7 linked regions of the Oryzias latipes genome follow. The protein of the gene in region 1 binds, or shares a complex with, the protein of each later gene. Links are inferred from orthologs where the notes say so. Each region holds a gene or a part of one and is shown in the gene's direction. Other genes may lie near its edges. The genes, in order: uri1, pfdn6, pdrg1, ruvbl1, wdr92, pfdn2 and uxt.

What was found.
Region 2: uri1 (region 1) and pfdn6 share a complex: the UniProt entries of both Homo sapiens proteins name them as parts of the PAQosome complex. The link is inferred for Oryzias latipes from reciprocal best matches to the Homo sapiens genes URI1 and PFDN6.
Region 3: uri1 (region 1) and pdrg1 share a complex: the UniProt entries of both Homo sapiens proteins name them as parts of the PAQosome complex. The link is inferred for Oryzias latipes from reciprocal best matches to the Homo sapiens genes URI1 and PDRG1.
Region 4: uri1 (region 1) and ruvbl1 share a complex: the UniProt entries of both Homo sapiens proteins name them as parts of the PAQosome complex. The link is inferred for Oryzias latipes from reciprocal best matches to the Homo sapiens genes URI1 and RUVBL1.
Region 5: uri1 (region 1) and wdr92 share a complex: the UniProt entries of both Homo sapiens proteins name them as parts of the PAQosome complex. The link is inferred for Oryzias latipes from reciprocal best matches to the Homo sapiens genes URI1 and DNAAF10.
Region 6: uri1 (region 1) and pfdn2 share a complex: the UniProt entries of both Homo sapiens proteins name them as parts of the PAQosome complex. The link is inferred for Oryzias latipes from reciprocal best matches to the Homo sapiens genes URI1 and PFDN2.
Region 7: uri1 (region 1) and uxt share a complex: the UniProt entries of both Homo sapiens proteins name them as parts of the PAQosome complex. The link is inferred for Oryzias latipes from reciprocal best matches to the Homo sapiens genes URI1 and UXT.

What each region holds. Positions count from the first base shown.
Region 1 is NC_019864.2:30,476,798-30,480,842, forward strand, and holds the start of uri1 (unconventional prefoldin RPB5 interactor 1), read left to right. Parts: upstream 1-1,245; 5' UTR 1,246-1,563; coding exon 1,564-1,638; intron 1,639-2,019; coding exon 2,020-2,054; intron 2,055-3,030; coding exon 3,031-3,109; intron 3,110-3,282; coding exon 3,283-3,418; intron 3,419-4,045. UniProt on the Homo sapiens protein: Involved in gene transcription regulation. Acts as a transcriptional repressor in concert with the corepressor UXT to regulate androgen receptor (AR) transcription.
Region 2 is NC_019868.2:26,685,013-26,689,051, forward strand, and holds the start of pfdn6 (prefoldin subunit 6), read left to right. Parts: upstream 1-1,239; 5' UTR 1,240-1,374; coding exon 1,375-1,438; intron 1,439-1,594; coding exon 1,595-1,665; intron 1,666-1,753; coding exon 1,754-1,878; intron 1,879-4,039. UniProt on the Homo sapiens protein: Binds specifically to cytosolic chaperonin (c-CPN) and transfers target proteins to it. Binds to nascent polypeptide chain and promotes folding in an environment in which there are many competing pathways for nonnative proteins.
Region 3 is NC_019863.2:18,202,525-18,206,735, reverse strand, and holds the start of pdrg1 (p53 and DNA damage-regulated protein 1), read left to right. Parts: upstream 1-1,411; 5' UTR 1,412-1,455; coding exon 1,456-1,539; intron 1,540-2,290; coding exon 2,291-2,366; intron 2,367-2,508; coding exon 2,509-2,583; intron 2,584-2,662; coding exon 2,663-2,743; intron 2,744-2,818; coding exon of another isoform or gene 2,819-2,844; exon of another isoform or gene 2,845-2,885; intron 2,886-3,718; coding exon 3,719-3,801; 3' UTR 3,802-4,211. UniProt on the Homo sapiens protein: May play a role in chaperone-mediated protein folding.
Region 4 is NC_019863.2:3,775,258-3,779,473, forward strand, and holds the start of ruvbl1 (ruvB-like 1), read left to right. Parts: upstream 1-1,416; coding exon 1,417-1,557; intron 1,558-3,649; coding exon 3,650-3,736; intron 3,737-3,824; coding exon 3,825-3,957; intron 3,958-4,216. Other genes in the region: eefsec (selenocysteine-specific elongation factor), read right to left, coding at 432-735. UniProt on the Homo sapiens protein: Possesses single-stranded DNA-stimulated ATPase and ATP-dependent DNA helicase (3' to 5') activity; hexamerization is thought to be critical for ATP hydrolysis and adjacent subunits in the ring-like structure contribute to the ATPase activity.
Region 5 is NC_019873.2:11,204,358-11,208,519, forward strand, and holds the start of wdr92 (WD repeat-containing protein 92), read left to right. Parts: upstream 1-1,362; 5' UTR 1,363-1,502; coding exon 1,503-1,688; intron 1,689-1,845; coding exon 1,846-1,946; intron 1,947-2,029; coding exon 2,030-2,160; intron 2,161-2,231; coding exon 2,232-2,333; intron 2,334-2,946; coding exon 2,947-3,062; intron 3,063-3,162; coding exon 3,163-3,297; intron 3,298-4,162. UniProt on the Homo sapiens protein: Key assembly factor specifically required for the stability of axonemal dynein heavy chains in cytoplasm.
Region 6 is NC_019876.2:18,978,092-18,981,415, forward strand, and holds the end of pfdn2 (prefoldin subunit 2), read left to right. Parts: intron 1-1,340; coding exon 1,341-1,544; 3' UTR 1,545-2,824; downstream 2,825-3,324. UniProt on the Homo sapiens protein: Binds specifically to cytosolic chaperonin (c-CPN) and transfers target proteins to it. Binds to nascent polypeptide chain and promotes folding in an environment in which there are many competing pathways for nonnative proteins.
Region 7 is NC_019865.2:33,765,944-33,769,972, reverse strand, and holds the start of uxt (protein UXT), read left to right. Parts: upstream 1-1,229; 5' UTR 1,230-1,352; coding exon 1,353-1,450; intron 1,451-4,029. Other genes in the region: cdk20 (cyclin-dependent kinase 20), read right to left, coding at 289-402, 485-565. UniProt on the Homo sapiens protein: Involved in gene transcription regulation. Acts in concert with the corepressor URI1 to regulate androgen receptor AR-mediated transcription. Together with URI1, associates with chromatin to the NKX3-1 promoter region.

The sequences.
Region 1 (4,045 bases):
GAGGGACAGGAAATACAACAATCGTGGAGTTGGACAATCTGAATCGAGTAGCTGAACCTAAAGAATCAGTGTTTTATAAAAAATAAAATAAAACATTCACGAAGAAAGATGGCATAGCATAGTTGGGCTAGTAGAGATGCCAGAAGTAAAACTTTCCATTCACAATATATAAAAGGCGTCATGTTGTTGTTTGTATTATTATTATGATTATAATGATGATTATGATTATTATTATTGCTTTGTTTTATTGATCCATTATCATTATTTTTGTTCGGTTGTCAAAAAAAGAATAAATAAAAACTTGAATTATAAGAAAAACAACAATGGAGTTACGGCTCATTTTAAATGTTTAAACTGTTTTTCGTCCTCTTTTTCTGGTAAATTAAACTAATCGTAACATTAGTAAAAGGTTTTTCCACATGGTTCTAAAGTAAGCAAATGATAGTTAATTTTTAAGGTAATTGGATCTGTGAACACTGTGAATGTATAACTGCAATCCAGTCATCATAAATGATAATTTGAGAAACAGGTGTGTTGTGCTATTTGAACACCACAGATGCAGAAAGTTGTCACATTTCGTGTTTAACTAAAATTAGAAAAAGTTGAAGAAGGCCTGTAAGTCAGTATTCCGGGCTGCAGCTGTAAAGTTTGATCAAAAGTGAACATAAAACTGTGATTTTTGCTGTAATGACGTTATATTAAATGCCGACATCAAGAAAATGGATATTTTAACTAAAAGCAATAATTCGCTGTTCAAATCCAACAGAACATCCTTTATTGCATCTTCTTTCAACTATTTATAGTGCATCCAATTGCAACGCATGCAGACTAAAGTTTTTTTTTCTGAACTGACAGTTTAATTAAAGCTAGAAGTAATATTTTTTTTCTTTAACGTGTGTTTCTGTTTGTTAGTTTTTATACGTTTTAATGCTTGTACAGCTCTAAGTTAAGATTCGGTTTATTTTTTATGTTTCGTAAAATATTTACAATACTAAACATTTACCCAGAGTGCACTCTGGTAGACTTTTCTAGACGTCAAACAGAAATGACACGCTTGGTTTTCAAAGTAAGAGCGAACATTTAGATAACGTGTTAACATTTTAAGAAAAACACATGTAAGATACGTGATAACGAAGATTAAATTGGCATGTAATTTATGGTTTGGTGTTTTGGGAGAAACTTGCATAAAAAAACGTTGCCCACTCCAAGTCTCTTCCGTTCACGGGTTTTATTTTGAAACTAAAAACCGGAACAGCTCCCGTTTCTTCCCCTGTGGGTCGATCTGCACAGCGAAAGAAGCGAGGAGTTCTCTGCTAACCTCTGGATCCAAACTCGGCGGATTTTTTTGGAGATCATGCAGAAGCCGTGAAATGAGCGTGTGAGATGATATCACCTTCGGACGTGAGGATTACCGTCGATGCCCCGTTGATGAAGGCGCGCGGGACGGGCCTCCGGAGGAGCTGCTGCTGCTGCGTTCATAAACACTTCTTTAGGACTCACAACAAACCCTGAGCTTTGGTGCTCCTCAGAGCCCCAAGGCACCTGTGCACGTGCGGAGTAAGGATGGCTGGAGGAGGAGGTAAAGCGAACATGAAGCCCCTCGGCGGGGTTCACAGGCTCCGAGAGGAGCACGAGAAGGTAAGAGGAGCGCGTGAGCAGATCTGCAGCTGCGGGCCACGAGGCTTGTTTCCTTCTGAAAACATCCTCCTCTGCAGACATGAGCCGCAAATACGGAGAAAGAAGATTCGTTTCTTTTCTTTGCCCTGCTTCAGGTGAATTAGATCAACCCACAAGCCCCTCCCCCAAACCTTTACCTGAGCTTTTACTCCTGCAGGTTGTTTGGTTTCAGACTCCATGTTTACAGGCTGCCTTTGCTGCTAACTTCTGTTTTTTCTCTCTCTCTCTCTTTCTCTCTGTTTGGCTAATAAGGAACACAAAACTCAGTTTGATAGCATGAAAACATGTATGTTGTGTTGAACGTGTCATGTTGTTCATGAAAGCATTTTTTTCCTGCATCAGGTGGTGAAAGACTGTGACTCACGGATTCAGCATTGGTAAGCTGCACAGTCCTGAAAGTTTCTCCTCTTCTACGGTTTCCTCTCTGCTTTGAGTGTGAATGTGTACGACTTGGATATGAATGCAACAAAGACGCTCAAAGTTTGCAGGAGAATAACCCCCCTCCCTTTTTTTTAAGCTGCAGTCATGGATTTAGATGATCGCATTTTCAATTTTAGAACTTGACGGTTAAAGCTTCCCATATTATTTTCCTCATATGGCAAAGACAAAAGTTTTTCTAGGATTTAGCAGTCTATCGCCACAGCATGATACTTCCGCCACCCTGCTTTACCATGGAGACACGCCCCCACAGAAGACTAGTTTAGCTCCTAAACCGTCCCTCGCCCACAGTCGGCCCTGATGCAACATTTCCTTTTGTGGTCCGTTAGCAACTTCCATATTTTTGCAGAATTCTCCCCTTTTTCTTTGCTTTCTCTTTCATTTTCTAGGATGTATGAGAACAAAATAATTCAGAAAGATGCAAAAAACAAACCAGATCAGCCAATTTAAACTCCACTATCTGATGAGGTTGACATCGTTTACTCGCACCAGGCGAATAATCTTAAGAAATTAGGTAATAATTGGCGTTTATTTGTTTAGGGAAACGTTTATTTTTTCTGCTCTGTTTTTTTTACTATATAAACTATAAACTTTCAGGTTATTTTGTGAGTTATACTCTTGTAAAAATGTAGTTTAAATGCATTTAAATGTCCTTTTTTCCTTAAAGATTTTCAGCAGTCATTTATTTTGGTTTTGTTTACAGTCTTCATGAAGGCGTAAAAGTTTTTTTTAATCTCTAATGCAAGTTAATAAAAGTTAAGATGTTTTGGTTTAAAGTAGTTTTCCTTATAGATGATTGTCATTGCCCCCTTGTGGCCATCTGAGCAATAACATCCTTTAACTTTACTCATCATTTTATACCCAAATCGCATCAATTGGGTTAAATTCTGAATATTTCTGTGACCCGACCTGCAGGATGAAGGTGTCGGGTGATTACGACGCGCTCAGCGATCGACTCAAAACCCTCCCAGACCGGCTCTCCTATGACATCATGGTGAGCGCTCGCCGTTTCACTTGACAAGTTTACAGAGTGACCCAAAAACCAAAACTTTACTGGAAGTTCTGTGTCTCCCGTTTGCTCCATGTTCGCGCCCACTTCCTGTCAGCTGCTCTGACTAACCCGGTTCTGTTCTGTGGCCCGTCCGGGCCTCCTTGTGCTGTGAGCAGGTGCCCTTCGGCCCGCTGGCCTTCACGCCCGGCAAGCTGGTGCGCACCAACGAGGTCACCGTGTTGCTGGGCGACAACTGGTTCGCCAAGTGTTCGGCCAAACAAGCCCAAGCGGTGGTGGATCACAGGATGAAGCGTGAGTTTCTGAACGGCGGCGTGTGGCTGCAGAGCGGCGGCCTGTGGCTGCAGAGCGGCGGCCTGTGGCTGCAGAGCGGCGGCGTCTCCAGCGGGGGGCGGCAGTGCGTCACATTCCGACAGCCTGAGCTTTACTTTACAGACGTTTCTGGGCTCAGGATGAAGTACGTCTTTGTGTAAAAGCGTTTGGACTCGTTCTTTACGTCAGTGACGGCTGCAGGCTTAGCCCCCCCCCCCCCCCCCCCCCACCACCACACTTTTGTGGCCAGGTTATAGACCGCTATGGTCGTTTGGCGTGTTGTCCGGACGCTACAGCCTTTACCTCCACATAAAAAAACCCTCTCTGATTTGAACATTATTAGACTGTTTAGTGAAGCAGAAATGCCCCCCCCCCGCCCCCCCCTCTCCTGACCCCCGCCATCCCTGCTATTACACAGCTAAGTGCTGTAATGCAAACACAGCGAGCTGAAATGTGTCAGACAGCGGCTGAGCTGTCTGGCCTTCTGCGTTTGACCTTTCCTCACTTCCAGTTGATGCACTGACTGGAGGGGCTCGCCATCGCCATGGAAACAAGGGCCCTCTGCTGCTATTAGTGAAAGGGCTTAATTGTTGTGAAGATTTAATGATC
Region 2 (4,039 bases), on another chromosome or scaffold:
TGTTGATTTTCTGTGATGTGTGGTTGTCTAATTTTTTTTCATTGCATAATTAAAACCAAAATCTTCCCATCAGTAACAGCGTTCGTTGTGTATTTTAGAAATTCGTTCAAAACATGATGATACGACTACTAAGTATTTTAGATTTTGAATCATCAAAACGATACTACTTCCATGACCACTACTACTACTACTACTACTACTACTACTACTACTACTACTACTACTACTACCACAGGCTTACTGTTTATTTTAGGTTTTTGTTCAAATAATAATGATGCTAGTTCTGCAACTGCTATGTATTTTAGATTTTTAATAAAAAAAAAAACCCATACAAATGTACTACCATTACAGCAACTACTACTACTACTACTTACCACTTTTGCATTTTAGATTTTTCATTAAAACAATGATACTACAAATACTACAATTTATTTCCAATCAAAATACCACTGTGGTGACAAATGACGGGATCTGCCGAGAGGTGAACAAGTTGTTCAAACAAACACACACACACGCACACAAAGGGTCCATACAAACATTTATTCCTCAACTTACTTATCTGACTTACTAAACCTTCCAAGGTTCTATTGTTTATTGATGTAAAGCAAACCAAGGCAAAACTATTGTTGAAGAATCGCTTTTCTCAAATTTCCCTTCGTGGATTAATAAAGTTGATCTTGAAAGTGGATTAATAAAGTTGATCTTAAATCTTTCTCCCAGTTTTAGGGTCACAGTCCCTGAGTGTCCACCACTTTATTGGGCAACTGCCGTCTCACTTTTTTTTTAAAACCAATTTTCATTTCTCTTGTGATTTTTGAAGGTCAGTGGCTTGATGCCAGGTATTAGCCCCTTACATGATTTATTATGATTTAATACAGAGAGGACATCAACTCTTTCCATGTTGGAGATCCCCTTAGACTGATCAGAGCTGGTGGACCAAGATTTATCCATACCTTTTTGAATGAGATGTGGCAGCAATTAATTTTATTTTTAAATGTTATGTGTGCAATTCAAAGTTTAAAATATCTATTATCTTCTATTGTTCGACTATGAGAATAATGTAATAACTTGTGTGTATAACTACTAAGTCAAAAAAATCCTAATCAAATAAGATATTTTTCAAATTTCATGCAATTTCTTCATCTAATATGATATACATTGGACAGAAATAGAAAATATTTGATAAAACTCTTCTCTTGTACGACTGCGGAAACTCCGATTTTCTGGATGGCAGTGAATCTTTCACAACTTCCGCTAAATCCGTCGCTCCTTCCGGTTAGCTAGCGCAGTTCTCCCATTCTGTGTTGTTAGCTCTGAAACCTCTAGATACATTTATTTAACGTTTACACGGTTATTACAAACAAGTCATAAAACATGGCAGATGCAATTCAAAAGAAATTAAAAGCGGAATTAGAAAAATATTCGCAGGTGCAGAAAGGTAGGTACCTGTTAGCTGCTAGTGTGCCATGATGTTGTTACCATCGGGCAGCAGTTAGTTAGCCATGCCTGCACCCATGTTTCAAATATTTAAAGTAACTTTGAGATTTGACGTATTAAAAGAAATACAACTTACAAATGTCTGTTTTTTTTTCAGATGTGAGTAAAAGTATGTCCGTCAGGCAGAAACTGGAGACGCAGCTGACAGAAAACAACATAGTCAAAGAGGTACACGCCTAACCCTTAACAACATGTTTTTGTCCATTAGATATCTTTATGTTCAGTTTGACTGAAGATGTGACCTGTATATTTCCAGGAGCTCGATCTGCTGGACAGTTCTAACACCATTTACAAGCTTATCGGTCCAGTTTTAGTGAAGCAAGACTTGGATGAAGCCAAGGCCACGGTCACAAAAAGACTGGAGTACATCAATGGAGAAATGTAAGGAAAAGAAATACAAAAGAAAATGTATGGGATGCCCTAGTTAAAATGATATTTTCAAGCTTTAGTTTATAATATATAGCACTTACTATAAGCAGAGACGTTTATAGTCATTTATTTGTAATGAAATATCAGCCACAGAAGCTGGAAATCTAGTTTTTATGGGTAGTTCTGAAAATTCAGGATAGACTTGAACATATTTCGTCGCCATGGTAAAATTTTGACCACAAATTCTGAGTTCTACCTTGAATAAATAGAGAAACAAAATGCACGACGAGAACACCTGATTTAAGCTGTCTTTATAGAATATAGAATCACATAATTTGCCTTAAATTTACGCCATACCTTGAACCTTTTAATATTCAATTTCTACTGATACAATCTTATATCCTAAGACTGACAGTTGAAAGGTGAAGGCTTAATTTTTGACCTGAAACCCATAATTGTAGTATTTAAACATATAGACATTTTAGCAGACAGAAAACTATCTTATATCTTTACATTATAAATGGGGTCCAATGTGCCCCAGATGAGTAATTAGTCAAATTTTGGGGGAAATAAAATAATATATTAAAAAAATGAATACAGCTTTTGCTTTAAAATTAAATTAACAGTGTTGCTAAGTGATTATATCAGGTATTATGTTGCTTCATTCAATAGAAATATTTCTTTTTTTCATTACTGTGACACACTTTATGCTGGGGAAAACAGATGCATGTCACAGATATGCTTGTGTTTTTTTTTACATTAATATATAATAAAGACTGTACTCATAGTTTCTTTTAAATTAATGGAAGATGAAAAGTGGCTGATGAAAAAAGGGTTGTGCAGAAATAAAAGTTGACCTTGGCTGGTTGTACCTTCAAAAAAGAAATAAATGGGATCCCACAGCTGTCCGTTTGGGGCCTTAAATTAATTATGTCATATAATATTTACATGTTCTTAAAGTTAAAATAGTTTTATATTTGCTGTCCATGCATCTGAGATACTTTTGGACAGGTTTTTTCCCCATAATATTATATTTCATATCATTATGTTTGTAGTTGTTAAATTGTTTGTTCAATTAATACAAACTATCATTTATTTTAAACAAATGAATAGTAATTGTGAATAAATATTCTGACATTAACCTATTTATTAGCTTTTATCGTCTCATTATGTCATTTAGGCCTGCACAATATACCGCAAATTTATCGTTATCGCGACATCAAGCTGTGCAATATGCATACCGCAAAAGACGGCGAAAATCGCAATAAATGGTTACCTTAACCCTTGTGCTATCCTAGGCACTTTAACATTGGGAGTTGGGTCATCTAGACCCACTAGACAGTGCACTGAACAATTTTTCTTCAATAATTTGTGATCTTCACTGGTGTCCATGGATTACATGAAATCTTTCCACCTTTGTCCACCTTTGTCATGGTAGGGAGAACACGTCAATGTAAGGGGGGGGTCATCTAAGATAGCACAAGGGTTAAGTGTGCTAAAACAAACTCATGGCAGCTTGAAATATTGAACAAATGAAATAAATCCCTTTATGCATTTAACCAATCGGAAGGACCCGTTTACGCTGTTGATCAATCAAATGAGCCCTTTTATGTTTGATGTTTGCCTCCTACGTCGACAAGGGTCATTTGGAGTATGATTTTTATACTGTTGCATTGAAATGGAAATTATGTTTTTGGTTGGTTTGACATTTGTTTATATACCGCAAATTATATCGTTATCGCAATATTAATCACCAATATCGCATATCGCGAGTTTTCCTCATATCGTGCAGCCCTAGTGTCATTTGTATTTCATCTTTTAACGTCGGACACTGAAATCGTAAAGCAGTTTGTATCTTAAATCTGTCAAAAATGACTTTAGCATTAATCAAAAGGAGGATTGTGTCACACTATTTTAGGTTCTTGTTTATTTATTTACATATCTATGTTGTACAAGTATTTTGCCTGTTATTTTCTATAGGTAATTCTTTCTTCAGTTAAAACAAGAATTAGCTTTGATATTCTGTACTGTGTTGTAAAAACAAGTCTTTTGTTTTTACAGCAGCTCATTCATCCTGTTGGAGATTATTATTGAGCGTTTTTTCTGTCTTTAAAATTGTATTTTTTCTTAGACTTCTCTTTATAATACTGGTCACGTGCTTTGGTTACTTCAG
Region 3 (4,211 bases), on another chromosome or scaffold:
TTTTGATATCAACTATCTGTAAATGTGCATTTTATGATTGTTTTGAAGCTGTTTCAGGGGAAAAATCCTTCAGTATGTTTACATAACTGCTACATGTCAAGGAATATGGACAAGCCTGTATGTTTTTAATTAAACAACAAATCTTTTAAAATGTTTGTTTTCATGTCCTAATAACTTGATTATGAAGCTTGTGGTTTGTCAAAATAAATAACAGCTACATTTACAAGCAGAAGGCAGTAATGCTTCCCAACCCTGGGTTTTATATTTGTCTTTCTGCACGGATCTTTCTCAGGTTTTTGACCTGAAGATGTGAAAAAAATCTGAATTTTATTTACAGAGATTGAGATATTTTTAAATCTAATGTGTTGTCTAATGTTTCAGTGTCCCCCATCCGCTTAAGTCTAAATTTTAAATACATGATCAGAATAAATTTTGTTTAACACTTAAAAAAATACAAACACACCCAATAAAGCAAACAGATGAATGAACCAGTGGTCCAGGTTTAGCCACTTAATTTTACTTTGGGCAAATACTGAGACAAAAAAATGTAAACTCTCTTTTCATGTACATTTGGATAACATTTATACTATACGCAGCATAAAACACAGCTGTTTATTCATTTCGCCTCCTCAGTTTCCAAAAAAGCAGTGAAATCAAATGTTTGTATGGGCATCAGAAATATTCTGCTTGTCATAGGCCAATGGGAAATCTTATATGTTCAGATGGTTCAGACTTAAGTTCATCATTAGCAAATATTAAAAACTGTAAATAAGAAAGTAGACCAGATATTTCCAGCAAACATTGGGGGTTACTAAAAACAATGCGGGTCATTGTGATATTTTCTGGGTTCAGCTCATATAGAGAAACAAGATGATGAAATAGCCACTAAATGTGCTTGAATAGTTTCCAATAAAGGATTTTGAGTTAAAGATCAGTCTTAGCAAAGCAGAGATAAAAACATAATCAAAGAGAGAAAGAAATATGACGAAGACACTGGGAGAAGGAACAAAGGAATAATAGAGGGGAAAATGATGAGAGCGGGACAACATAGGATAGGAAAAGAGCAATAACTAGATTGAGACGTAAGACTCGAACGTTTTTAAAACATGAATACATTTTTTTTAAACTAAAAAAAAAAAATCCAAATTTAAACAACCTTGAAATGTTGAACATGAAGTTTGAGGTATCTGTAAATTTAGGCAATGGTCGATGTGCGCTTTTTTTTATTTATGAAATTTTTGCAAATTAAGATTGAATTCATTTTTTGAGAAGATTCCACTCGAATGTAAGTAAGAACGTGAAAGTTAAGAAAAGATCCCGGTTTACACTCCACTCCAGTTGGCGGCGGTAACGACCAGCAAGCTGTTTGCCTACCGCCAAGAAAATGCAGAAGATGAAGCGTTCCGCCTTCTCTTGTGTTTCTCGTAGAACATATTTAGATGCGACACCGCCAACATGGATGCGGGTTCGCAGCGTGTGCTGGACTACCTGACAGAAGTGGAAGAAGCAGCCGAGGAGGTTATCACAACCAAACAGCAGGTATGTTGTGACGAACCGCAAATCGTTTCTTTTTTCAAAAGTCATGTTTAACATAGATAGCTTCAGCTAGCAAAGAGGTCACCGAACCGCTTCACTAGCTTAAAAACAAGTGATACTGAAGTTCAAGTTGGGCTGCCTGGATGATGATCATGATGGATCGAAATTTCTGTTCACAAAATTGAGTAAAAAATATCCTAAAATAATATTTTATGTCATGTTATACTATGAATTAGATGGCGTGTCCAACAAAATATTTTTTGTATTGATGATCTGTTTGGGGAAATTCCACTCACAGAGATGTAAACAAAAAAAGAAGTGTTTTCCTCTACTTAAACGTAATAAAGTTGAAAAGAAATTAGATAAAGATTAGCTTGATACCACTCTTGAAGAAAGACAGAAATTCAAAAGTTCTGCTTTCAATCTGGCTCTATTTGACATTTTAAAGATTTTATAAGAAATTTATTTGCAAATGAAATTTTCTATAAACTACAAGTGGATATTTTAGCAGCTAGTGCAGCAAACACGGACAATTTCTCTTTTAACATAAAATCTACTATAAATTTTGATCATAATATCTGTGACATAAATGGACACTCTGTCTTTGTTAGTTTAGTTCACTTTATATTCTTTTTGGCTGTCACCAGCCAGGGTCTTACTTTGACCCATTTTCTTCATTTAATAACCAAAAATTGGATACTAAATTAGGTAAATATGAATTCATGTGTCTTTCTTTTTTTTTTCTTTTCTTCAGATAGTGGACCTGGACTTGAAGAGAAACCGGAACAGGGAGGCGCTGAACGCTCTCAAACATGAGCTGTCTGATTCAGGTGAGGCAGGACCGGGTCCCGTCATGTTTAGAGGCAAGAAAGGAAAACCTGATCGCTGCATTTATGAAATATGTCAGAAGTGCTGCTGTTAAATAACAAACCCAGCCTTTTCCAGCCTTAATGTTCTTGTTTTTGTTTGCAGAGAATGTGAAGGTTTGCTTTGGAAACATGTTTATTGAGTTTGACAAATCCAAAACTAAAGGGATGGTCCAGAAAGGTAATCCTTAAAGAAAACACACTTCCATGCTTTATGTGTTTATTCATAAAAATAAAAATGTATTTCTTTTGTGCTGCAGACCAAGAACAGCTGGATAAAGAAATAAATAACCTTCGCAGAGAACTGAAAACTAAATTCAATCATCTCAATGAGATTCAAGGTATGCAACTCTTTCAAAATAAGAAAACAAAAAAGGAAAAATTAAAGCTGACAATTTTAATAAAACGCTTTACAGGCTGTGTAGCAGAAGGGGAAACGTGATTCCTCCCTCTGGTCCTGCCCTCCTGTTGGAAGGAGAAGAGGTGTTGCATTTCTCTTTTGGATGAACATAAAGGGGTTTTGGGAAGAAAAGAAGTGCTGTAAAACACTGGTAGCCATTTGGAACAGAGGATGTTACTTTTGACAAGTTGAAAACTCACAAAACTCAAGAAAAGTTAATAAGCTAAAATAGGTTCCTAATTCCAAAATGTTAAACTGACATTTGTGAAAATGTGAAATATCAAGACAAATTAATTAACAGCGTTCATTTGGGGCTTTGCACTGTTTCTGTAGAGTTCAGTTACACAACGTACTTGTCGGTCGTTCCGGTTGAAGCCAGTTGCGTAACTGCGGAGTCCTAAGGTGACACAAATAAATACTGCAAGCTAAGAGTGGAAACACCAAGACAACAGCAGACCTCATAATATATCTTTGTTTACAGATTTCTTTGCATTTTCTCTGACTGAGCTGCTGTAAGGTTCCAATGCCACAAGGGGGCAGCACACTCAAAAGCAGGCGAAATGTTAGTCTACAGATGTTTTCCACCTGCTCACACCTACAGACTGATCTGATCTGCACATGCACTCTTCTAGACACTCAGTTCAGGAGCCTTTACTCTGTGTCCAGGTCACTACAAACATTTTTTTTAATCATTAGTGCGTCTCTAGAGCTATCATTTTCTTTAGTAAAATACAAACAAATTAAAATAAAGTACCGTAAAATGTTTGCACCAGGAGGGGTAAAACTGTCTCATAACAACAGCAACTAGTGGAAAAGATGCCCTGACGCTTCATTCAAACATTCAGAAGTCAAAGTAAGTTTCATCAATTAAACTTTTATTATTGAATAGCTAAAACTATTCCCTTCATTTCTGTAGGTAAACCGGAGCTCAGAGGCTACAGACTGTCTGCACTGTCCTCTGAGGAGATCAAATCTATCAACAGCCTCCTGAAGACCTGATTCTCCGGCTGTTTCGAGTCACTTCTGAGAGAATGAAGCGCCAAAGCTGCAGGCCTGAGTTCCAGCGCCACATTTAAACATCATTTAAACATGCTTATTAAAGGCACCTTGGCTGGACGGTTGGACTGTCGGGGATTCGTGCAGGACACTTCTGCAGGTTCAAAAGATGACAAACATGTCCTTTTTTGCACCCGGTTCCTGGACTGTTTTAATAAAGTTCATATCTATTATATTTACAGTTTTAAAGTTGTTTCCTTTAGTAGACAGCAGCAGAATCTATATTAAACATCTTCTAGAATTGTAGTAGTTAAAGATGGCTGTACTGACTGGTCAAAGTCCACTTTCCAAACTCTCTTTAAAGGAGATGTTTGGATGTCCATGTTCCTCTGACTCTGAAGTTTTTGTGTAAA
Region 4 (4,216 bases), on another chromosome or scaffold:
ATGAATTCATGATATATTTTAACTCAATAAAAACCATGAAAACCTGGAAAACTGCCACAATAGTCATCCAAATAAATCCCTTGTTTTAGTTTCTTTGCATCATATTTTTGTATTTTTATTCTTATTTTATTCCGCTTGAAAAAGTTCTCTGTTTTTGGTCAAAAGTAAATGACTATATTATAGTCTCTATAAGATTGGCCATGTAACTGTTCCCTACCAGACACTGGATGTCAGTGTGTTCTGATGTGATCAATCAATCAATCAATCAATCAATCAATCAATCAATCAATCAATCAATCATATAACAGAACAGCCTTTGCCACCATTGCATACTGTCTGAATGCCTCGGAGGGCTTGGGAATGTTGGACCTTGAGCCCCTGACCCTTCATGATGCTCAGTCCATCCATGATCTTCCACAGGTTTACGTTACCTCCGATAATTGTTCGGATCAGAGAGGCGTGGCCTGGACAGTCCACCAGGGTAAACTGCAGACTGTCGTACGGCTTCAGGCCCCCGCCGTCCCGCAGGTGATCCGGACAATCCACCGTGAAGGAGGAGAAGCCGAGGTCTAACGTGATGCCTCTCTCCCGGGACTGTGGGTTCTTGTCGAAAGCAGCCGTGGAGGCGGTGCTGCTCAGCGCTCTGGCCAGCGACGTCTTCCCGCTGTCGACATGTCCGAGGACCCCCACGTTGAAATTTAACGTTTTCGTGCGGCTGTCATGAGACTCGGACATCCTCTCGAAGTTTCCGAGCACGAACGTTTTCCTACCTTGAAACCTGAGCACCGCGTTGATAGTTATTTGGAAAAAAAATAACGTTCACTGCGTTAGTTGGTCAAATCAACAAGTCATTTTCGGTGCCTAAAGTGTCCCTAAAAAACTGCAGAGTTTATGGTGCTTACACTTTATTTCGTCCCCGATTACAAGACGAACCGGAACGTTTATATGCGGGGAACAAACCAAAATAAGAAAAATGTGATATTTAAATATTACAATTTAATAAAAAAATATAACACAGAAATATATTTCTATGTATAAAATAAATATTTTAAATTATCGATCAATTAGTGTTTTTTATACTGAGGCCTTTTTTGTGTGTTTCTATTACAACAAAATAAAACGAAGCACAGGAGGAAACAGGGGTGTGGTTTCAACTTTGATTGACAGAACATTGACTAATCAGAAATGCTCTTATCATGAGGAAAACCAATGGTTTTCAGACTAGTTAAAATGGGCGGTACCTCAGGGGTGTCGATTCCTGCTTTTTTCCCCTGGTAACCCACATGGAAACCGTGTTTTGACTTTTGGCGCCTCATGTAGTGGTCAGAGAAACGCAGACACTTAGGTGACATTTTTTAAACTTTACTTTGCGGCTTGGACAGTATTATAGCCAGTGCTCCTGTAACACTTGCAAATATGAAAATCGAGGAGGTAAAAAGCACCACAAAGACCCAGCGAATAGCTTCACACAGTCACGTCAAGGGACTCGGGCTAGACGAGGCCGGCAATGCTAAACAGACAGCATGCGGACTGGTCGGACAGGAGGCTGCCAGAGAGGTGATGTTAATCATCTTTTTTCTGTTTCAATTGTATTTTATTTTCCTTCAGACATTACTTGCACATAAGTTCCTATGAGAACACGGTAGCAAATTGCTAACCCCTGATGCTAACTGAGTTAGCACAGCTGCGTAGTTTTCTTCTCAGATAACCTGCGAGACTCCTCCTTAGTTAAATTAACACACAGTTTCCAAAGTAGCGATTTATTTTTTTTATTTCATTTAATATATTTCTTAAATTAAATTTAAAAAAATGAATTGAAATCTCTTGATTATATTTCCATCATACAGGTACAATTTTTATTTTATTGGGAAAGAAAAACGAAATGTGAAACTCAAACTAAGGTATATTTCTTATTACACATTTGTAAGTCGACAAAGAATCTACATCAAAACCGTCATAAAGTCAAATGTGATCTGTAGATTATTTAATTTTATTTATTGGATGGAACTAACAGCACTGACAGTTATTTCTTTATAATGGAAAATTGTTGGAACCATAATAAACAGTCATCATATTATTTTTTTTGTGTTTTTTGTTTGCTATTGTTACATTATGGCTGCTAAATAATTAAAAATGCAAAGAAAACTCTAATACATTATATAGATCGCAGTGTATTTTCTAGACTCTAAAGTGGAACAAGGCAGGATAATCGCCTCTAAAACACGTTTTATTTTATTTTTATTTGATGAAGAAGTTCATAACAGGATTTTCAACTTAATTTCATGATGTATTACTTCAGTTTTTAATTTCATTCCATTCTAAAAGCAGTATTGGGTGGATGTTAAAATATGTTTTTACATGCGTCGGAGGTTTCAACTGACCGATTGCACTTAAACACTGTTTTGAATTCTTACCTAAGAATCATCCTATTATAAGGAAAATTAAAATCAACACTGCACTGGCAAAGTTAAAAAAATAAACGATAATAATAATAATTTCCGTTTGTGTTTTTACCTACCCAAACAAGATTGTCTGTGCTGGTTTTAAAGGGCCAGTATCATGGTATTCTTAAGCCTTTTTTAGGGGGGGGGGGGTCCTGTGGTAGCATATTCTGTGAACTTGAGTGGGCGGTGGGGAGGGGGGGGCGACGACGACATTATATGGGATTTCTACCGAATATTAATGTAACGTCTTGCTTTAAATTTTTAAAATTTGAACATGTTTTTGTGTAAAGCACTTTGAGGGGCTCTAGAGGGAAAAGTGCTACACTAATAAAGTTTGATTTGATTTGATACGACGTTGAAATGACATTTATAAATCTCAGTTTGAGTCCTGCAAAAATGTATATCACCAAAACAATATCAATGTATCTGATAATACATCCTGTGGCACACAAAAGAACAAATCGACCTGCAACTTTCACGTTTCTGTTTATTAGTCTTACTCAACATCGTAGTTATAAAGACAGTTTTCCTTTTTCCTCATTGTTATACTTTAAACTAGGCCTGCACAATATACCGCAAATTTATCGTTATCGCAATATCCAGCTCTGCAATATGCATATCGCAAAAGACGGCGAATATCGCAATAAATCGCAAGCCCAAAATGTGTTAAAACAATCTTCTAGCAGCTTGAAGCATTTAACGAATCAAATAAATCCCTTTATGCTTTGACCAATCAGATGGACGCCTTCCCATTGTTGACCAATCAGATGGAGGCCTATTATGTTAACCCTGGTCCTGAAGAGCCTCAACCCTGCCTGTTTTCCAGCTCTCCTTAACCAGCTTGCTGTTGATTGGCTGACTCAAGTGATTTCACATCCTGATTGACTGAACACACCTGATTTTGGTTATCATTATCGAGCAGTCTAGGGAGAACTGGAAAACAGACAGGGTTGAGGCTCTTGAGGACCAGGGTTAGCCACCCTGACGTTTGTCCCCCATGTCGATGAGGGTCATTTGGAGTATAATTTTTAAACTGTTGCAATGAAATGGGAATGATGTTTTTGTTTATTTTTCTATTTGTTTATTTACCGCAAATTTATCGTTATCGCAATATTGATCACTAATATCGCATATCGCAAGTTTTCCTCATATCGTGCAGCCCTACTTTAAATGTTGTATTTCTCTTTGGTTTCTCTACCCTTTAGGCTTGTGGCATTATTGTTGAGCTGATCCAGGCCAAAAAGATGGCAGGAAGGGCCATTTTACTGGCAGGACCCCCTGGAACAGGAAAGGTAAAGCATCAGTGAAGATGCCGGCGGACTCTAACGCTCGTCCTTCATGCAGACTCTTACTGTGACGCCGTGTGTCTTCTGCCTTTAGACGGCCCTGGCTTTGGCCATCGCTCAGGAGCTGGGGAACAAGGTTCCGTTTTGCCCCATGGTGGGCAGTGAGGTCTACTCGTCTGAGATAAAGAAAACAGAAGTATTGATGGAGAATTTCAGGAGGGCAATTGGTGAGTGTAATCGATCCATTTATCCAACAGGAACCATGGCAACCAAGCCAGATAGTTTTGGAATTATATCCATGAAGACATAGGGTTTGTTAAAGCAGAGAAAAAACGTTTTTTCACAACTTTGCAGCGTTTGAAATAAGCAGTTATCCTGTTGTCAGAGACAACCAGATTTCCCGGAGGACAACCCCAAATGAACACGATGGTTGTCCGTGTGACAACCTGGTCTTTTATTCAACATTTTTGGGAAACCGACGTCCGA
Region 5 (4,162 bases), on another chromosome or scaffold:
AGGAGAGGAGATTCAATGGTTTCTTTATTGCCATCCAAGGACATTGTTTTATCCAGTAGTTTGATTTAAACAGCATACTGTTAATTTTTAAATTTAAATAGCATGTCATTTAAAATGGTTCTAATAATAAACAAAAAGTGATTTTGGAGAGAAGCTCTGTGGTATTATAGATAGTAGAGATCCGTCTGTGCAGAGCTATCCAGGAGTATTTTGCTTAGGGTCACGTGATCCCAGGAACCAATCAGACGTCAATACCAAGTTCAGTCATCATAGGCCCTTAGGTAAAAAAAAAAAGTTGAAGTGGTAAAAGACATTACATCTTGGCACTTTTAAAAGTGCTAAACAGTGTGAAGAAATCAAAGAGGCCCCACGTGCGCCACCCGCTGTCCATAAGGAGACACTGCAGGAATGTTTTATTGGGCCGCATCAAATGTCAGATACACTTGACAGTTCCCGTTATAATTTATTAAAAACGGACAGAGACATTCTTAAATTACACTAAATATAAACTACTTGACTCATGGGAAAAGTATTGCTCACAAACGTGACATACATCCAAAAGTATTAACATTTATTTATGTACTTATGTCTTCTAACTTTAAATTCGTGTAAAGTAAATCTTGTACAGAATATTTTCTATATAGAAAAGAGCAAAACATACGAATATTTTTGTAATTTGGTGCAAGAATATATTAATATCGGTAAAGAAAAACTTGAAAAACAACAAATACGTTATTTGGTATCGCCCATCCTTGCTTCACTACTTGTGCACATGCGCAAAGCATCTCAATATTTAAAGGAACAGCGCTTTGGCAAAACAAGCGTTTTTAAGTCGGTTTCGCGTTTGTGGTTTACCCGTGAAATCGCAGAGGCAGAAATGAAAACACATTGTAAATACCCGTAGTTTGTCAGCTGAGATGGGTGGAAAATGCGGGCGTTTATTTGGCTGTTCGACCTCCATGGTCGTGCCTCCGTCTGGCTCCAGTTTTCTCTTCTGGCTCTTCTTTGACTTCACTTTCGTAAACGATTCCCCGTCATCGTGCTTCTCCGGCGCCGTAGCTCCGCTTTCACTGGCGTCCATGGCAAAATACAGTCTTTAAAAGTTTAATAAAGTCCTTAAAAGGGTGGTGTGGACTGAACGGGGGGACGCACGAGATTGCCCTCGTGCACTGAAAAGGACCCCAAGGGTGGCGTCGTCGACGCTCGAAACAAAATGTTATTACCAGGTGTATCAAAAAGTACAATTTAAATGTAATTTAATCACCATCCCGCTTTTTAAATCCAAATAACTGTAAAAAAAATATTTATGTATGTGCTTTAAGAATAATTTAATGTATTTATTTTTAAATATCGGGAGAAAATCAGGCATATTTGTGGGCACCTATAAAGTCAGGACCTAACGTTGATATTTTGGTAGATTTTCTGTAGCGCAAAGTTCTATTTGATGTTCGATGTTTGCTTTGGTTTATTCGCTTAAATCGTAGTTTTCTGCTTCGGTGAATATGTCGTCTTCGCTGTCAAAGCCTCAGATCATCGCGCATGCTCACACGGGTCTAAACTTCACTGTGTTCGACTGTAAGTGGATCCCCTGCAGCGCCAAGTTTGTTTGTTTGGGCAACTTTCCGAGAGGAACCGGGGTGATCCAGATCCACGAGCTGCAGCACGGAGAAGTACAGCTTGTTAAAGAGGTGCACTGATGTCTTCATGTTGAAATCTTTCACCTTTAACCTCAACGAGCTGCTCTGAGCTGTCCAGAGAAGGTTTTCTCGCTTGTAGCCATGGCAACCCTAACCCAGCAAACACAGATTGAGTGCTAAGAATATAAGAACCTGTGATGTTTTTCAGCTCGAGAAACCCAAACCTATAAAGTGTGGCACGTTTGGGGCATCTTCCCTGCAGACCAGACACATAGCAACCGGGGATTTTGATGGAAATCTAAATATCTGGTATTTTGTCTGCATTTTCTCCTGCAAAAATCCATGTGTTGTGTTTTTCTGAGGTGATTTCTGAACAGATTTGTCATGGACAGGAATCTAGAGGCTGCTGATGTGCCTGTGTACTCTGTGAAGGCCCATAAGGAAATAGTCAACAGTATAGACGGAGTCGGAGGTCTGGGAATCGGAGAAGGCGCTCCTGAGATAGTGACCGGCAGCAGAGATGGTGAAGGCCATAGAGGCAAGACACAGTTAGAACAGCAAGAGTGGATCTGAGGTTCTGTTGGGTTTTCACAGGAACAGTAAAGGTGTGGGATCCCAGACAGAGAGACTGGCCTGTGGCCAACATGGAACCACTTGAAGGGGAAACCAGGAGGGACTGCTGGACTGTTGCATTCGGTGAGCAGAATTTTCAAAATAAAAGTTTTCACTTCTAAACCATAAGGATATAATGCTACCTATTCAGAGGACAGGAAAGTCCCTGTTTGACACCACAAAAGATGGTAAAGGTGAAGTTCAGTTTGATGCTACAGCATGCTGAGGTATCACTAAAGTCATATGGATCACCGTAAGGGTTCTGAAGTGTCAAAACGTTCAAATTTGTTCCGGTTAATTTAAATAAACGAACATTTTTCCTGAAAATCCTCAAAAATGTGATTGAATAAAGCAATTCTGCAGAGAAGGGTGGAACCAAATTTGTCCACAGGCACCAAAAATGTAATCAGACACAGCATAGCAGAAAATATAGACACATTTGTTCCTTACGAATCAAAATCGTCATTGGGTTGTGATTGTTTGACACCATAAAGCCTTTGACACTGTGAATTATGCCACAGTTCTGGCTTAAATATGATTTATCTTCATCCTGCTGTTTATTTTAGTAAAATAAAGTTCTATAACATTCTATAATTGTGTACAACAGTACAGAACTTTTTGAAATCCTTCATAAATTTGTGAAAGCCTGTTTTTTATTCGTTTGGCCTCATAACCGGCTTTCTTAAAACGATTTCAGGTCACGCCTTCAACCAAGAGGACCGATGCGTTTGTGCCGGCTACGACAACGGAGACGTCAAGCTGTTTGACCTGAGGAACATGTCTCTGCGATGGGAAACCAACATCAAGAACGGGGTGGGCTGAGGACATTACTCGTTTATGTGCGTGATCATAAATGATGCTGTGATTCTGTGTGGGTTCTCACTGGGATTCCTTTTTCCTGCGTTACGTTCAGGTTTGCTGCGTGGAGTTTGACAGGAAAGATATCAACATGAACAAGCTGGTGGCCACGTCTCTGGAGGGCCGGTTCCACGTGTTTGACATGAGGACGCAGCACCACACCAAAGGCTTTGCCTCTGTTTCTGAAAAGGTAACAAACCTTTGGGGACTCAGTCAGGTGCACCATTTTAGCATTTCCAGAAAGAGACAGCATCCCTCTAAAAACAACAGCAGTCAAAGCAAACAGAACTGTTTTGCTGCAAATGTCTTGAAGCAGGAGCCAGTCTGCTCACAAAGGAGCTGCAAACATTTGTTTTTTGCTCAGCTGGAAGATCAACTGATCAAATGTTTTTTTTCTAATGAAGGTGAACATTAAATTCACAAATTCAAACGTTCAATGTTCAGAACAATTTGAGCATAACCAACACTATTTCTCATTTCTATCTCTTATTTTTATTTCATTATTTCATTGCTTTCACATATGTAGTGAAATGTAACTTTTCAGTTTGTTTTGGCTTTTGTTTTATTATTTAAGTGCCTCAAGGGCCTGAATCATTCTTTTCTTAAGCCTTTCAGAGTAACGTATGTCCATATACATGATGATTATATATATGATGATAATATATATATATATATATATATATATATATATATATATATATATATATATATATATATATATATATATATATATACGACTGAGGCTCCTAATTAAGCTAACACTTTAAAATTTATTAGATAATTTTATTAATTAAAATAATTTCAACACACCGTTTGCATTTTCAACATTCTTTAGCTAAAACTAGCCTCTTTACTGACGTTAGGATTTAGCATCTGTAGTATTTTCAGCATTTTATTTATTTATTTATTTGTGTTTTTTTTATGTATCGCCTTTTCAGCACATTCTTTGTAAATACTGATGTAAAAGAAGTTTGTAATGTCTTCAAATACTTAAACTTTTAGCTGTTTGTCGGCCTTTTCATCACATATTTTGGCACTAAACATGAGGCTACATT
Region 6 (3,324 bases), on another chromosome or scaffold:
TTTTTGTAGCGCGGCTGGAGTTTGTTAGAAATTCACCTCTAAATTGTGGGGAGGACCAATAGGGCAGAGCAAACACCCCCCCCCCCCCCCCCCCCCCCCCATCCAGTCACCCATAACAGAGCTATCTGTTAACATTCTCTCCCGCTAGCTTACAGCCCCTCACAACCTCAACCTAACATGACACCACAAATGGTGAGCAATATTGGAGCCATTCAGCTACCCAGTTTTGAGCCAGGTGACCGCTCAGATGAGGAAAACAAAGATGTACATGGATCTATTTGTCTACAAGTTGATGTATAAGAATGGAGCAGAGCAGAGTGTTTGTGGCTCACCCAGTGTATTTTCTACGTCACAAATATGCTCTTTTTCAAATTGAATTTCTTTGTCTGCTCCTGATTTATAAAAACTTGAATAAAGAAACTAAACTGCAATTCTAACCTACCGGTAATTTTTTTTTGATTTGCCCGAAATTTGGGTCGGCACAGGCACAGCCAGCTTCTTACTCAGAGGGAGAACGTTCACCGAATGCACACACACACACACACACAGACAGACCCCGCCCCTTCCCACCAGTCACCAGCCCACCGTTGATTGACATACACTGTGGTCCAGCAACTGGCAGAACGAGGGGGGCGCCAGCCACCCGCAGCTCTGCGCACGTGTCGTGAATGTAATCTTCCCTCCGCAAGCCCGCATCTATTTTGTTTAGGTATCCCCGATATGGAGCAGCAAGAAGTCAAGGATAAACTTCAGACAGGGGAACTGAAAAGGCAAACACGCACTGCAGCGGCTGCAGTATTTCTCCGCGTAATGAAGCGAGTGCGCATCAAGATCTCTCTTTCACTCTCTTTGTCTGGCCTCTTATTCTGTGTTCCAGCGTTATTTCGTTGTGTAAATGCATTTATCATGATCATAAAAATATGTAAATTATTTTAACTTTAAGAAATCTGGCGTTTTTTTTCTGTCAAAAATACTATGGGATAAATTGAAATTTCGGGTTTGCTTCGGGTTCAGGCCTGCAAATCAAGTTAATTGGTCGGGTTCGTACCGGGTTCGCCTTTAATGCCCGCGGGCCTGTGTCGGGTTGGGCTGGATTTTTTAGGCCCGATCTTACCTCTAGTTCCAATCAAGTCACTCTGAACAACAGAATCCTGTGATAACATTACCCTGGAAATCTTTACAGACATTGATTTTATTCTATTTTTTATTTGCTTTATAAATACTTTCTTAGAAATTATATTTTTGATGTACATAAAATGATTTGAGTCTTAATAGTAAAATACCTATAATCTAGAATTTATTAAAACAAATTTCCCATTTATCTTTCTCTCTCCCAACAGATCTCCAAAGCAACTGAATCCATCAATATACAGATGCAGGCAAAAGGCCGAGAACTGACAGAGTACAGGGAACGCTACAACATCCGGCTGGTTGGAGAAGGAGAGGGAGAGGGAGAAGGAGAGGGTCAGGGCCAGTCAGGAGCATCCTCTAGAGACAGTGAAAGAGGAGGATCCAAAAGTGGAGCTGGAGTTCTGGTGTCATAGTCTGTAATGATGAACAATGTCAATAGGGTCATTTGATTTTTACATCACTGAAAAACTTAGTTTGAAGAAGGATTGGCTGGAATGTCAAATTGTTCTTCCTCTGTATGTCCATTTGTGAATGCTAACATGTGTCATCTGAGGTTATTATGCATTTGCCTTTTCTCTTTTTGATGGCAAAAATACCGTCTTAAATTTCCTTATTAAATTTCAACGGCTGAAAACTTGCTTTACGGTGTTGCTTTGGAAGACTACAAACTAGGGGTGTAATGATTTTAACAACGATCCGATTCATATCATAATTTGTGGTTGATGATGCAATTTATAGTCGACATTGGTTCATTTTGAACATTCCAATACATTGACCTAAAATTGATCCAGAACATCTTTAGCCAAAAATTCAACCAGAGTGACTCAGGAATAAATACCTGGGTGCTAAACAGTGCAGGTAATGTTTTCCCAATTCTTTGTCTTTCTTGCAAGAAAATCAAGTGTACATTAAATATTTGAACAAACAAAGAAGTATATAAGAATAAATGGAAAAATCCATTCATATTTTAGCTTCATAAAGTTCAGCCCACTCTTGTTTTCCCATCAACATAATACAAACAAAACATTATTAGAACATTCTACCACACTGTATGGTCAAGTTATTGCTAAACTCAAAGGGTTTCCACCCATTGGACTGGAATGATGGACTGATCTTTTTTTGCTGCCATCAGATGTGTGTTGTTTGCAGTGAAAGCACTTGGTTGATTTAAGGTTATAGTAAAATAAACCTACCATACCTGAATCCAAATGGTATTTTCCAAGATTGAATATAATCAATTTATTTAATTTTTGACAGATTATATAATGGTATAGGTAAATTAAACTCTATTTACAACATACCTCAGATCGATCTGATTGGAATGTAGTAATACAAATCGATTTATTGATTAAGTCGATTCATTGTTACACCTCTATTACAAATTTTTTTTGCATGTATAATTTTTCAGCTGTTATAAATATCAGTTATTTTGAGGTGGATAAAATGTATTTCCTTCTAAAGGGGAAACAATAAAATTCAAACAAATTTAAAGGCATCTTGAATGATCAATGCAGGACATGACCTCATTACTTCAGAAATGTTACTTTTTCATGAGCAGAACCGTTTGTTGGAATTAGCAGACCATCACTACTGAAATCTGGCTGAGATTTTTTTTATATGTCCCCTTTCTAATATCGTTTGAAATCTTCCATTGTTTTTGTACAGTAAAATAAATTGATTTACTACATCAAAATATGATATGTGTATTTTTCTCATTTGTTTGCTGTTGTGGGCAATGTTGCTAACGGAAGTAAGTTTGAAAACAGATTGGGCTCTGTAATTCATTATTAGTTCAGAAGTAAAATATTTCCAAAATGACCAGAAAAATCAACCGACGAGGATGGGATTCGAACCCACGCGTGCAGAGCACAATGGATTAGCAGTCCATCGCCTTAACCACTCGGCCACCTCGTCATGACAACTCTCCACAGAGTCTGTGTATAATAAACTTTGCAGAAGAGATACATTGTTGTGATATTCTGTTTATTATGTAGTATAATCCCATCATAAATCTCATTACCGCGTGTACGACCGATTTTACCTACAGAGAACGGTCAACACAAAAACAGGCTGCGTCCTTTAACCCCACATTACGGTCATTACACATCCACACGCGCCGCTGTCGCAGCAGAAGATCCGGTGGTGTTGTGATTTGGTGGATTTCAGTTGAGTTGGGTCTGCATCGGTACCTAT
Region 7 (4,029 bases), on another chromosome or scaffold:
TGATCTCCAGCCTGGTGCTCGTCAACATTGTCACCTGAGTTAACAAGACGATGAATGAAATGATCTCAGCTGGTTCTTTAATGACACCAATGAAATGCCGTGGAAAGAGTTTTGGGGGATTAAGTTCATTTTTATGGCAAAGAAGGACTATGCAATTCATCTGATCATCATAACATTATGGAGTATATGCAAAATGCTATTATATGTATTTAAGCAGCAATTATTTTCCAATTTCCAACAATATTTACGTCATTCTCCAAACCTTTGACCACGACTGTACACACTCACGTGCTGGTTGTCCTCAATCTCCTGCAGAGCCTTGATCTCCCTCAGAGCCTGATTGGGAATGCCGTCCTCCAGCTTCCTCAGAGCCACCTTCTTTAGAGCCACAGTTTCCCCGGTCTGTCAGAAACACGTTCATCCATCAGCCTGAATGATCACCTGTTCAGGTGTCTGTTTTTTCTGCTCCATGAACATGTTTCACCTGCACGTGCTTGGCCTTAAACACGATTCCGTGAGCCCCTTCTCCAATCCGGCCTAGGATGCTGTACTGCTCCATGATCATCCAGGACCCCTGCAGCTGCAGCGGGGATCTTTATGGACTTGGACTTGTTCCTTTACTTAACGGTTTTTAGTCCACGGGTTTTAAGAGCGGGGCTCCGGCGCGTCCAACCAAAATAAGCACGACATTTTGAACGGAACGAGACCGGAAGTGGGCGCTGATGTTGCCTCGGTCACATCTGATAAATAAAACTACGAAACTTTAGTATATCGTTGAATATTTAGTATAGTGCTGGATATTTACTTGATGCGTAAAGCTGATGACATGTACGCGACACCAAATGTGCGCTGTCCTTTGGCACTTGACGAGATATTTTGAAAACGTTTCAACTATAGTCAACGCAGCTCTCCGCCATGTTTGTTGACAGTGACGTCATCACAGGACAATCCAAATCAACGAAAATAAAACAACGAAGAAGAATAAATAAAATTAGCACAACCAGCCATTAAACAAAAACATATATATTTTAAAATTCATATTCACATAAGGTTTAACCCGGGAATTAGTTTATGAATAATTGCCACGTTCTATATATCTGGTAGAATATGGAAGAATAAATGTAAGTGAAAATGACCAAATAACAACTGTTTGCACAAAGTGCTTTAAACATAAAAAGAAATTAAATGTTCTTTTTTCTGCTCCTCTTCTACGCTGAAACCTGGAAGTATCTTGTCGGAGTACTTCCGGTTCAGAATCTTGTTTAGATGACTGCATGTGGGGCTGTGAACTTCTTTACAAGTGTCTGAGCTGAACCGGCCCGCAGAGCCCCCGCATTAGCCCCCCATCCCCGATGACTCCGCCCACAGACGCCGGTTCTGACTCGAGGATGGAAGAGAAGGTCCTTCAGTATGAAAGATTCATCGAGGAAGTTCTGAGGAGAGACCTGCGGTAAGCCCCTCTGGGTTCTGCTCCGGTTCTGAAAGTCCCCCTCTGATGAAAATCATGTTTTGTGACATTGTGGTATTTGTCTTATGAAATACAACAAATGGAATTAGACATGGTTTCATTTTTGCATTTCTGAGTGTTTCTCCTTTTAAACCGCTGTCAATCAAACTGTCTCAAAGACGCTCTGTTTGAACTAATGCGGTGTTGTGACGTCACAAAGGCCCAGGGGAGTATTCCAGAAAGCAGGTTATGCACCCACTATTGGAGAAAAATTGCCCCAGATATTGAATGGAAGAAAGTTTGGACTTTGTCCTCTAAATATTTTATTTCAAATAAACCCCGGGATGTTTGTTTTAAACTTCTTCACAGATGCTACCCAGCCAAATCCTCATTACACATAGACATTGATAAAAATTGCTCCTTTTGTAAATTAGACACTGAAACAATTATACATCTTTTCTGGAAATGCCCCCCAACAGCAATTTTTTGGAAAGACCTTACCTCCTTTGTTCGATGTTAAATTTATGAAAAATTTGATTTGGTATACAAGGATATATTATTTGGTTTTTATAGTGTTAATAATTCACTAAGAAGGGAATACTATTTAATTAACCTTTTGATAATACTAGCCAAATTCCACATACATAAATGCAAATTTTCTGAAAAAAAGCCCTTATTCAAACTTTTTATGATTGAGTTGAACCAATATATCAAAGCAATAAAACATTCTTCCAACCCCAAAGCTATAAGAACCTTTGACACCCTGGAATTTTTTTAAATGTACAGAATAGCAACTTACTGCTTTTTCTGCTCTTGTTTATAATTTTTTTTTTCTTCTTTCTTCTCCTTTGTTCTTTTGTTCCCCTGGCACATTTTGTTACTCTTTTTTTTTATCTGTGTACTTAAAATTTACTTGAATGAGTATCTTGTATATCTTCAATAAAGTTTATTAAAAAAAAAAAAAAAGAAAGCAGGTTATGCTAGCTCCCTCGGTACGTTTGAGGCTAAGGAAGTTGATAACCTCAGCTTTCAGTTCCAGAAATAGAGGTATGTTTCAGGTTATGTCAAGTTGCCATAGCAACTCATGCTCTGAACATAACCTGGTCTGGAGCAGGTTTAGTTGAAGGTTAGTTTGTTTACAGAGAGGTGAAGCAGCATGGCGTGTCCATTTGAAGATGATTTAGTGGATGAAGAAGCTCAGATAATACTTTTTACACCATGAGAGGGTGATAAGACCACATATGGATGTTGGAAAGATAAACTTTTTTACTTTGATCTAACTTCATTATTTGCTTCAGTTAAGATAAATAATTTTTTTCAGTTCAGTCAACTTAAAAATAACACATAGTTGTCAGACAGTTATTTTACTTTCATTCAAATTAATTCAATTGAGTAGGTGTAACTTTGGTGCTGCTGTTAGATCGGCACCGCAAGGGATTGTGGGATAGCATTCCCTTTGCCTGTCTGGACGGATTTGGGTTTAAGTGTGGCTTTTTGACCAAATGTGTTTAGTTGTTTAGCTGTTTTTATTGTGTTTTGCCCAGTTATTTGTCCTACTATGCTTAGGTCTCTGCACCATGAGGGAGAGGATGATGAGATTATATATATGTTATATATAGAGAGACCTGAAAGAAAACCTAAAGTTCAGGAGGTCAGAGCAGGCTGGCTCCCCATCCTGCAGCAGGTCTCTGTCTGGCCCCCAGCTCGCCTCCTGGGAGCCGCATAGTGAGATCAACCGCTCCAGCTCCATGGGCCCTGGGACAGACTGTCCAGGCTTTAGCCGCCTTTGTTCAACAGCAGCTGGTGTAGGTAGCATAACCATTCAGCCTGCAATAACCGTTTGGGGTCCTTTCGACTGAGGATGATGTCACATTACGGTAGCCCCACTTGGACAAACTACGTAGCGTGGAGATCTGCTCGGGCTCTACATATTCTCATTTCACGTTTCCTTTTATAACATAAAGTTCTTTTCCCTCTTAAGTTGTGTCTGACATTATTCTTTGTAGTGTTTATAGAGATTTTGCCACAACCCCCTTTGTAAAGATCTGTGGCTGCTAGAATGAACCTGCTGCTCCACAGAGTGAACCCTGTCTCTGAGCAGAGCAGCTGGAGTCTCGTAGCTTCGTGTTTACAGGCAGGGAAGCTGCTTTGTCATAGTGTGCGGTCTGGAGAAGGGTTCTGAACGCAGTCCATTCATCTGCAATGCACCTAATAATAATCATAATATTAAAAGCACGTTTAGAAGATAATGTCGCTCTGTGTCGGAGCTCTGTTTGTTTACAACGGACCGTATAATATCTTCTTCTATGGTAGTATTGTCATTTGTCCAGACCAATCACTACCTGACACGTCATTGGACCAACAGACAGTCATCACATAATGTGACGTCAGCACTAGTCGAAGGACCCTGAACGGTTGTTGCAGGCCGAACTGTTATGGTACCTACACTGGGACGGTACTGAAAAAAGTCCAGCGCTTGCCGGACTTATTTGGAAAATTGCAAGAGAATTGTTACTTTCTTTCTGGCCTTTCATTTGAATTGCTGTGCAAGTGAATTCAACAATCTGCATGTCGTTGCATCA